2 linked regions of the Sus scrofa genome follow. The protein of the gene in region 1 binds, or shares a complex with, the protein of each later gene. Links are inferred from orthologs where the notes say so. Each region holds a gene or a part of one and is shown on either strand. Other genes may lie near its edges.

What was found. The genes of interacting proteins can lie anywhere in the genome.
Region 2: the proteins of NELFE (region 1) and NCBP2 are in contact, whole or in part, in a crystal structure (PDB 5OOB), measured with the Homo sapiens proteins. The link is inferred for Sus scrofa from reciprocal best matches to the Homo sapiens genes NELFE and NCBP2. Residues at the interface, in NP_002895.3 of Homo sapiens: Lys361, Arg362, Gln364, Ile365, Val366, Tyr367, Asp369, Tyr372; in NP_031388.2 of Homo sapiens: Phe49, Tyr50, Thr51, Thr52, Glu53, Gln55, Lys68, Ile69, Ile70, Met71, Leu73, Lys77, Lys78, Thr79, Ala80, Asp107, Glu121, Gln124.

The regions. Positions count from the first base shown.
Region 1 is NC_010449.5:24,044,176-24,047,922, reverse strand, and holds the start of NELFE (negative elongation factor E), read left to right. Parts: upstream 1-990; 5' UTR 991-1,098; intron 1,099-1,537; 5' UTR 1,538-1,545; coding exon 1,546-1,620; intron 1,621-3,322; coding exon 3,323-3,392; intron 3,393-3,493; coding exon 3,494-3,639; intron 3,640-3,747. UniProt on the Homo sapiens protein: Essential component of the NELF complex, a complex that negatively regulates the elongation of transcription by RNA polymerase II.
Region 2 is NC_010455.5:133,177,077-133,180,266, forward strand, and holds the start of NCBP2 (nuclear cap-binding protein subunit 2), read left to right. Parts: upstream 1-1,089; 5' UTR 1,090-3,190. Other genes in the region: PIGZ (GPI mannosyltransferase 4), read left to right, coding at 1-1,008. UniProt on the Homo sapiens protein: Component of the cap-binding complex (CBC), which binds co-transcriptionally to the 5' cap of pre-mRNAs and is involved in various processes such as pre-mRNA splicing, translation regulation, nonsense-mediated mRNA decay, RNA-mediated gene silencing (RNAi) by microRNAs (miRNAs) and mRNA export.

The sequences.
Region 1 (3,747 bases):
GGCTTCATGTTTAGATCAGAAATGGTAGGTGTCCCATACAGGCTAGGACAATTAGGCTGAAGCAATAGTTTCCAAAGGTTGTCCTACTTTATAGGAAAAACTGACCTGCAACTGAATTATCTGGAGAGCTGTTTAATAATATAGATTTTGGATTAAAGAATTTCTGGAGATGGACCTAAGAATTTCTAATTTAGGAAAGCTCCCCCTCTAATCATGAGGCACACAGATTCTGATAATCACTAGTTTTAGGAAAAGGAGCCCCAGACCTAAGGATGAAAAACCGAAGGTGCTCAAGGGCTGACCTATCAGCCACCAACAAGTGCCCTGGTGCTTGGAGACAGAAGAAGATGCCAGGGAGAAAAGACCCACTGGAAAGAGCAGTTCTCAGAGCTAAAGTTATCCCCAGGGCTCCCTGCTCTGTCTTCTCATGGGCTCTGACGCACTGCAGGTCGACTGGGTTGGGATCCATCCCGCACCAGTCCAAAGCTGGGATGACAGGTGTCCAGAGACAGGTGAGCCAGGTCAGGTTAGACCCTACTGTGAGAAGGCTGAAAGGGGTTTTAAGCCCTATTAATAAGGGTCAAGGTTAGGTTAGAGCTAAAAGTCACTCACGGTGCTCTCTGGAGCCCCAGGCACATTCAGCAGCTCCCAGCGCCCGGTACATCCTAGCTCCAAGGCGCGGAGGGGCAGATCCAGGGGATCTGGGGTAGGCAGCACTATGGGAGGAAAATCACAGGTCAGGGGTCAAGGGTCATTCCCTGTCTCCTCCTCCTTCCCACCTTCTGCCCCCTCACCGAGTCGCTCCGTCTCCATCATCCTGGAGCCACGGTAGCTGCCGGGCAGCCCGGAAGTGTAGGGAGGAGCCGAAACCCGCGGAACTAGCGGCGACTTCCGGAACACACCCCGCTGGGGGCGGGGACGAGCACTACCGAGGGGCGGAACCCAAGCTGGTGGGAGGCCGGACGGAAGTGTGCGCGCCGCGAGCCGCCTTGGTTACCGCGGTCTCCGCCCCTCGCTACGTCATCGCTCCGAGCCAGCGATCCGCTGCCCGCGCGGGCGCCGCCCGAGACCGTGGGGCTCCGGTTGCCGCCCCCTCAGGTAAGGCCTTCTCCGTCTCACCCTTCGCCCCTTTTTTCCGAGCTCCTTCTCTCTTCTTGCCCTGTTCGTTGCTCTGAGAGCGCTGCGCGGGTTCCACTGCCTCCTCTGCTTTTCGGACCCTGCGAATGCCATACTAACCCCAGCGAGGTAGGGGGGGTCTGGTGCCATCGTCTTCGCGACGGAGGGGGTGTTTCTCCCTTCCTGGGCTACGTGGTGCCCCAAGGCGCTGGTATCCGTGATTCCCGGAGAGAGAAGGGAATGCTGGTTGATCCCGACGAGCGGGGGCTTGGACGGCAGCTGGTTTAAGCAAGGGGTAGGGAGAGGCAAAAGACAGGAGTAGGCAGGCCTGGAGGGGTGGGATTGGGTGCAGTGTGGACGGCGTGTGACCCCTGGGCGGTGACAGTGGAGAAAGATGTCTTGGGCCCTGCCCCTGAACCAGGAGCCACCATGTTGGTGATACCCCCCGGACTGAGCGAGGAGGAGGAGGCTCTGCAGAAGAAATTCAACAAACTCAAGAAAAAGGTGAGGGAGTGTGTGTGGGCATGGCCCAAACTTTCAAAGACTCTACACTGAGAACACCTGGGGTGAGTGTGAGGGGATGGGGGGGTGGGGGTTCTTCTAGCTCATACCTAGAGACATGGCACCTCTCAGTGTCCCTTCATGGGTGGACTTTCTCAAGGTGGATACTTGCTTTTCTCTCTTTTCTGTATAGTCTGCCATGGAGGTGTCTTCCTTTCCTCCGGCTTTTAGTACCACCTAAGAACTGGTGATCCCAGGCTTGGTTTTTTTTAGTTCCATCTGTATCTTGCCAATAACCTTCATATATTGCCGCTCTGGTCTTACCTATTCTAATCTTGGTCTTCCAAATAGGACTGACTCCATTCACTTCTCCCGCTGTTTGGAATCCAGATCTCGTCTCTGTCTTATTTGCGTAGCCAAATGTTTGCCGAGTCGTCTTGATTCCTCCTTTGAAGTAACTTCTTCTGTTTACTCCTTCCTGTGTATTCTCGCAGTCAGGCCTTTGCTGATGCTCACCTAGACTGTTGTAATCGTCTCTCAGCAAGTTTCTTTTTTCGACAGACTTTTTTACTTCTATTAAAATGGTGCTTTGAAAACAGAAAACACTGTCCTTCTTTTTCTCAAAAGCCAGTGGTTTCACATTGTCTATAAAAGAGCCTTAATTTGGCAGCCCTTCCTCGTCAAATAGAACTATTCCTGGGAGTTCCCGTCGTGGCGCAGTGGTTAACGAATCCAACTAGGAACCATGAGGTTTCGGGTTCGGTCCCTGCCCTTGCTCAGTGGGTTAACGATCCGGCGTTGCCGTGAGCTGTGGTGTAGGTTGCAGACGCGGCTCGGATCCTGCGTTGCTGTGGCTCAGGCGTAGGCCGGTGGCTACAGCTCCGACTCAACCCCTAGCCTGGGAACCTCCATATGCCGAGGGAGCGGCCCAAGAAATAGCAACAACAACAACAACAACAACAAAAAGACAAAAAAAAAAAAAAAAAAAAAGAACTATTCCTTAATCCCAAAACACACACACATACACACACACACACACACACACACACACACACACACACCCAGAGTCTTATCTCTGCATCTTTGCCGCCTTGTTTTCTTTGTCTAAAATGCCTTTTCTTTTCTGTATGTTATTGTAGATTCTATCCAGGGCTCAGTTTAATGTGGGCATCAGGAAGGTCTTACTTGCTCTCAGCTATAGTCTACACTTCTTTAATCAGTCTTGACAATTTAGTCTGGTCATCTTATTTCTCAAACTCTAAGCTTCTTGAGGGGAGGATTTCCGTCTCATACTTCTGCATAGACCTGTTACAGAAATTCCTAGTGATGCTCTTTCTGATTAAACGTTTAGGGGGCGGACAGGTGAAGCCCCCAAGAAGGCATGGAGACTTACACTTAATTGCAGCTTGTATCTGCAGACTCTGGTCTATGATTAAACCCCTTGTCTTCGACTTGAGAAACGTGAGACTCTGGAAAGCCTCTGGATACTGTGGTTTGAATAGATTAGGTGTTGTTAGCATTGTAGATGCTCTGGGGGACCATATGTGAGAGGCAGGGCTGCCTCAGTGTGCCACTCTAGGGGCACCATTTGCATTATTTTCTCTGAGAAAGTTGTCCCCTGGAGTGATGTGCCCAGGGGCCTTGGGAGAGGACCTGGGCAGGGACTGGCCCTCACTGACCCCTCTCTTCTCACTCTCATTCCCAGAAAAAGGCATTGCTGGCTCTGAAGAAGCAAAGCAGCAGCAGCACTGCCAGCCAAGGTGGTGTCAAACGCTGTGAGTGACAGGGGAAGTGGGGATAGACCGGAAGTGAGGAGCCCAGGCCGACCTCTGTCACAGCCTGGCCAACACAAAGCCTCTTTCCCCCGCCACTCCAGCTCTGTCAGAGCAGCCCGTGGTGGACACGGCCACAGCAACTGAGCAAGCAAAGCAGCTGGTGAAGTCAGGAGCCATCAGTGCCATCAAGGCCGAGACCAAGAACTCGGGCTTCAAACGTTCTCGAACTCTAGAGGGGAAGTTAAAGGTGAGCACAGGGAGAAAGATGGTTCAGGGCATCCGTGACTTCAGAGGGATCCTGCCAAGTTGGAACAGAGGTAGGTTTAGGGGGAAAGTAATGCTGGTTCAGTCCTGG
Region 2 (3,190 bases), on another chromosome or scaffold:
AAGGAAGCCCTGGTGCTGCTCCCAGGGGCGGCCCTCACGGCAGCAGTGTTTGTGGCTGTGGACAGCTGGTATTTCTCCAGTCCATCGAGACCCAGAACCCTGATCCTTACACCTGCCAACTTCCTGCGTTACAACCTGGACCCTGTAAACCTGGCGAGGCATGGCACACACATGCAGCTCACTCACCTGGCAGTCAATGGCTTCCTGCTCTTTGGGGTGCTGCACGCCCATGCCCTGCAGGCTGCGTGGCGACAGCTGCGAGCCTGCCTCCAGGCCTTCGCAAGGGTGGGCTTCCTAAGAGCACTGGATGCCTGGCGCCTGCAGTCCAGGTCTCACCTCCTGCTCATCTACTTCACACCCCTGGCCCTGCTGTCTGCCTTTAGCCACCAGGAGGCTCGGTTCCTGATTCCCCTCCTGGTCCCCCTGGTCCTGCTTTGTAGTCCACAGACCCAGCCTGCACCCTGCAAGGGCACCCTCGCTCTCTTCAATGCCCTAGGGGCCCTCTTCTTTGGCTGCCTGCACCAGGGCGGCCTCGTGCCTGGCCTGGGGCACCTGGAGCGGGTGGTTCATGCCCCTGTGCTCCCGCATGTGTCCACCCGCTACACACTCCTCTTCACCCACACCTACATGCCCCCCCGGCACCTCCTCCACCTCCCCGGGCTGGGGTCACCAGTGGAGGTGGTGGACATGGCTGGCAGTGAGGACTGGCTCCTGTGTCAAGCCCTGAACAACTTCACCAGACAACCAGCCTGCCAGGTGGCGGGTGGGCCATGGCTCTGCCGCCTTTTTGTGGTGACCCCTGGCACCACCAGGCCTGCGGTGAAGAAGTGCAGCTTCCCCCTCAAGAATGAGGCGCTCATCTTTCCCCACTTGACCCTGGAAGACCCACCAGCCCTGTCCTCCCTGCTGAGTGGGGCTTGGAGGGAACATCTGAGCCTTCACATCCTGGAGCTCGGGGAGCAGCCTGACAATATGACAGCAGATCCACTGGCTGGGACTCAGCCATAGGTAAAGGCGTCTCTCCACCTCCTACCTGGGTGGCTGGGCTGGGACAGAGCCCTGATTCTCCTCCTTTCCTTTCCCTTCCAGAATTCCCACCATTGCCTCTCCTATGCACAGCCTCTGACCACTCCGCCTTCTGGGGAAACTGATACCCCATTTCCCTCAAAGACCAAAGAGAGGACCAGTCACAGTCCTGATGCCAAGGGCCCCAAAGAACCTGGTATAATCAATAATGCCAAATGTCTGTTCCTGCCCTACCCCTTCCAGTCACTGTGATGTTGAAATACGTAAATAGCACCTGGTTGTGAAAGGAGACAGCAATCTCCTAATGACGTCCTGAATGACTTCTCCCAGCCCCCCTAGGATGCCTTAGCTCTTGCTGTCATGACAGCCCTTTGGCCTCTTTCTCCTGGAAGGAGGCAGCATGGTGATGTAAAGAGCGGCGGACCTGGTTGCAGGCCCTGGTCTGCTCTTGCTGGCTACATGGTAAGACAGCCCCTTCCCCTCACCCAGCCTCAGTTTTCATCTCTACAGTGGATCAGAGGGTCTTTGAGGTGTCTGCCCCCCAACACTGTGTTGTTCCTGGGCCTGCAGCGCACATCCCCTGGCTAGATGGGCATGTCTCTCCCAAAGCTCTAAGCAGAGAAGTGGGTGTGGTGTATCTAACTGCACTTCGGTGCCTGCTGTCTCAGTACTTATTACCAAAATGAGTAGTTCTGGAACGCCCCTGGCCGCCCACTCCTGCAACTCTCTTCTTACTCGTGTCCCAGAAAGAGGTGGTAGGACATTTCTGTATCTCCTTTGGGGATCAGGGAGCCCAGATGTTCTCCCTCCTGGGTCGGCCCCAGTGGGAATGAAGACATAAGGCTCAGTATCTGGTGGTGCTTGAGCACAAAACCTTAAACGTGGTCTGGTCCCTCTCCAAGCCCCCAGCCCCTGTCTGAAGCCCCTTCACAGGACGGAGAGCGAAGTCCATACCAAATCCACGCCTGCTGCCTGGTAGAAGCCATCACACCTGGGCACATCGCTCCCCAAAACACAGCCCGCTGGGAATGTGAGAAGTGGTGGCACTAAGCTTGTTCTCGTTCTCCCGCCATCTCATGAGAACAAGAGGCAACCAGGCCGAGAGGAGGACGCTGGAGGAGCACAGGCAGGAGACACACTTGTGCAAGTGACCAAACCTGAGTGCTTTTCTAAGTCTGCCTTTTGCTAGCTAAAGTCTTGGGTCATCTTAAAGGCCCTCCTAGGCGGGCTGCTCTGCAGCTACTGCTAGGGTTCTAGTGCCACACCTTCCTTGGGACTCCAAGGGAAAGAAAGTCAGTGCCATGCTGGTCAGTGTTCTCTGGGGGCAAAACAGCCCTGATCTGCAGCGTTTGTGATTTCTGTGGTGTAACACGCTCACCATGGCCAATTGTTAACTACTAAAATGATGTTACTGAACTAAGCTGGGAGGAGACGCCAAGGACCACACTTGTGGATATTTCCCTCTTTAGTACCCGTTCAGGATAATTCATTGTTCTTGTGGTTCACGTTTCTGCTAGCAACTTCGGATTTGTCTCACCTGTAGTGCTTAGCATCATCTCTGGCACCTGATAAGCACTTGTTTACTTTGCAGCCAAAGAAGGCCTTTCTGCCCAACATTTAAAAGCCAAGTGCAACCTGGAGATCCCCCAGACTCTGTTTCAAATTCCTCTGGGCTTCTTGGGACTTCTGTCTCTTCCCTCCCCCAGTTGGGTTCACGACCTCAGAATTCCCTGGAGGTGCTGTTGGTGTAACAGCTCTTCCAGATTGTAGTGGTCTGAGCTCTAACAAATTTGTCTGTAAAGTGTTGGTATCGAGACTTGTGTGGCATCAAGGGGTGATTAGGAACTGCCCTGCAGGATAGTGGAATGAGTTGCTTCCCTGCTTCATTTTCTGGCAAAGGTTAGAAGAGCCTGGAAGGCATGCTGGGAGATGGTTGCCATGGGGAATGGTGGGAAGAATTTGGTTTCTTTAGTAATAGGGTAACTGGTGGGATGACAAGCCGCTGACTACAGACACTGGACGCTTCTCTAACGAAGAGGGGAGGCATCCAAACCCGATGGAGCAAAAAGGACCCAGTTTTCTTTCTGCTCTGACTCCTACCAAAATGGAGGGAACTTGGTTCCTACACTCTTCTTCCACAAAAAGTAAACAACTGTTCCTTCTC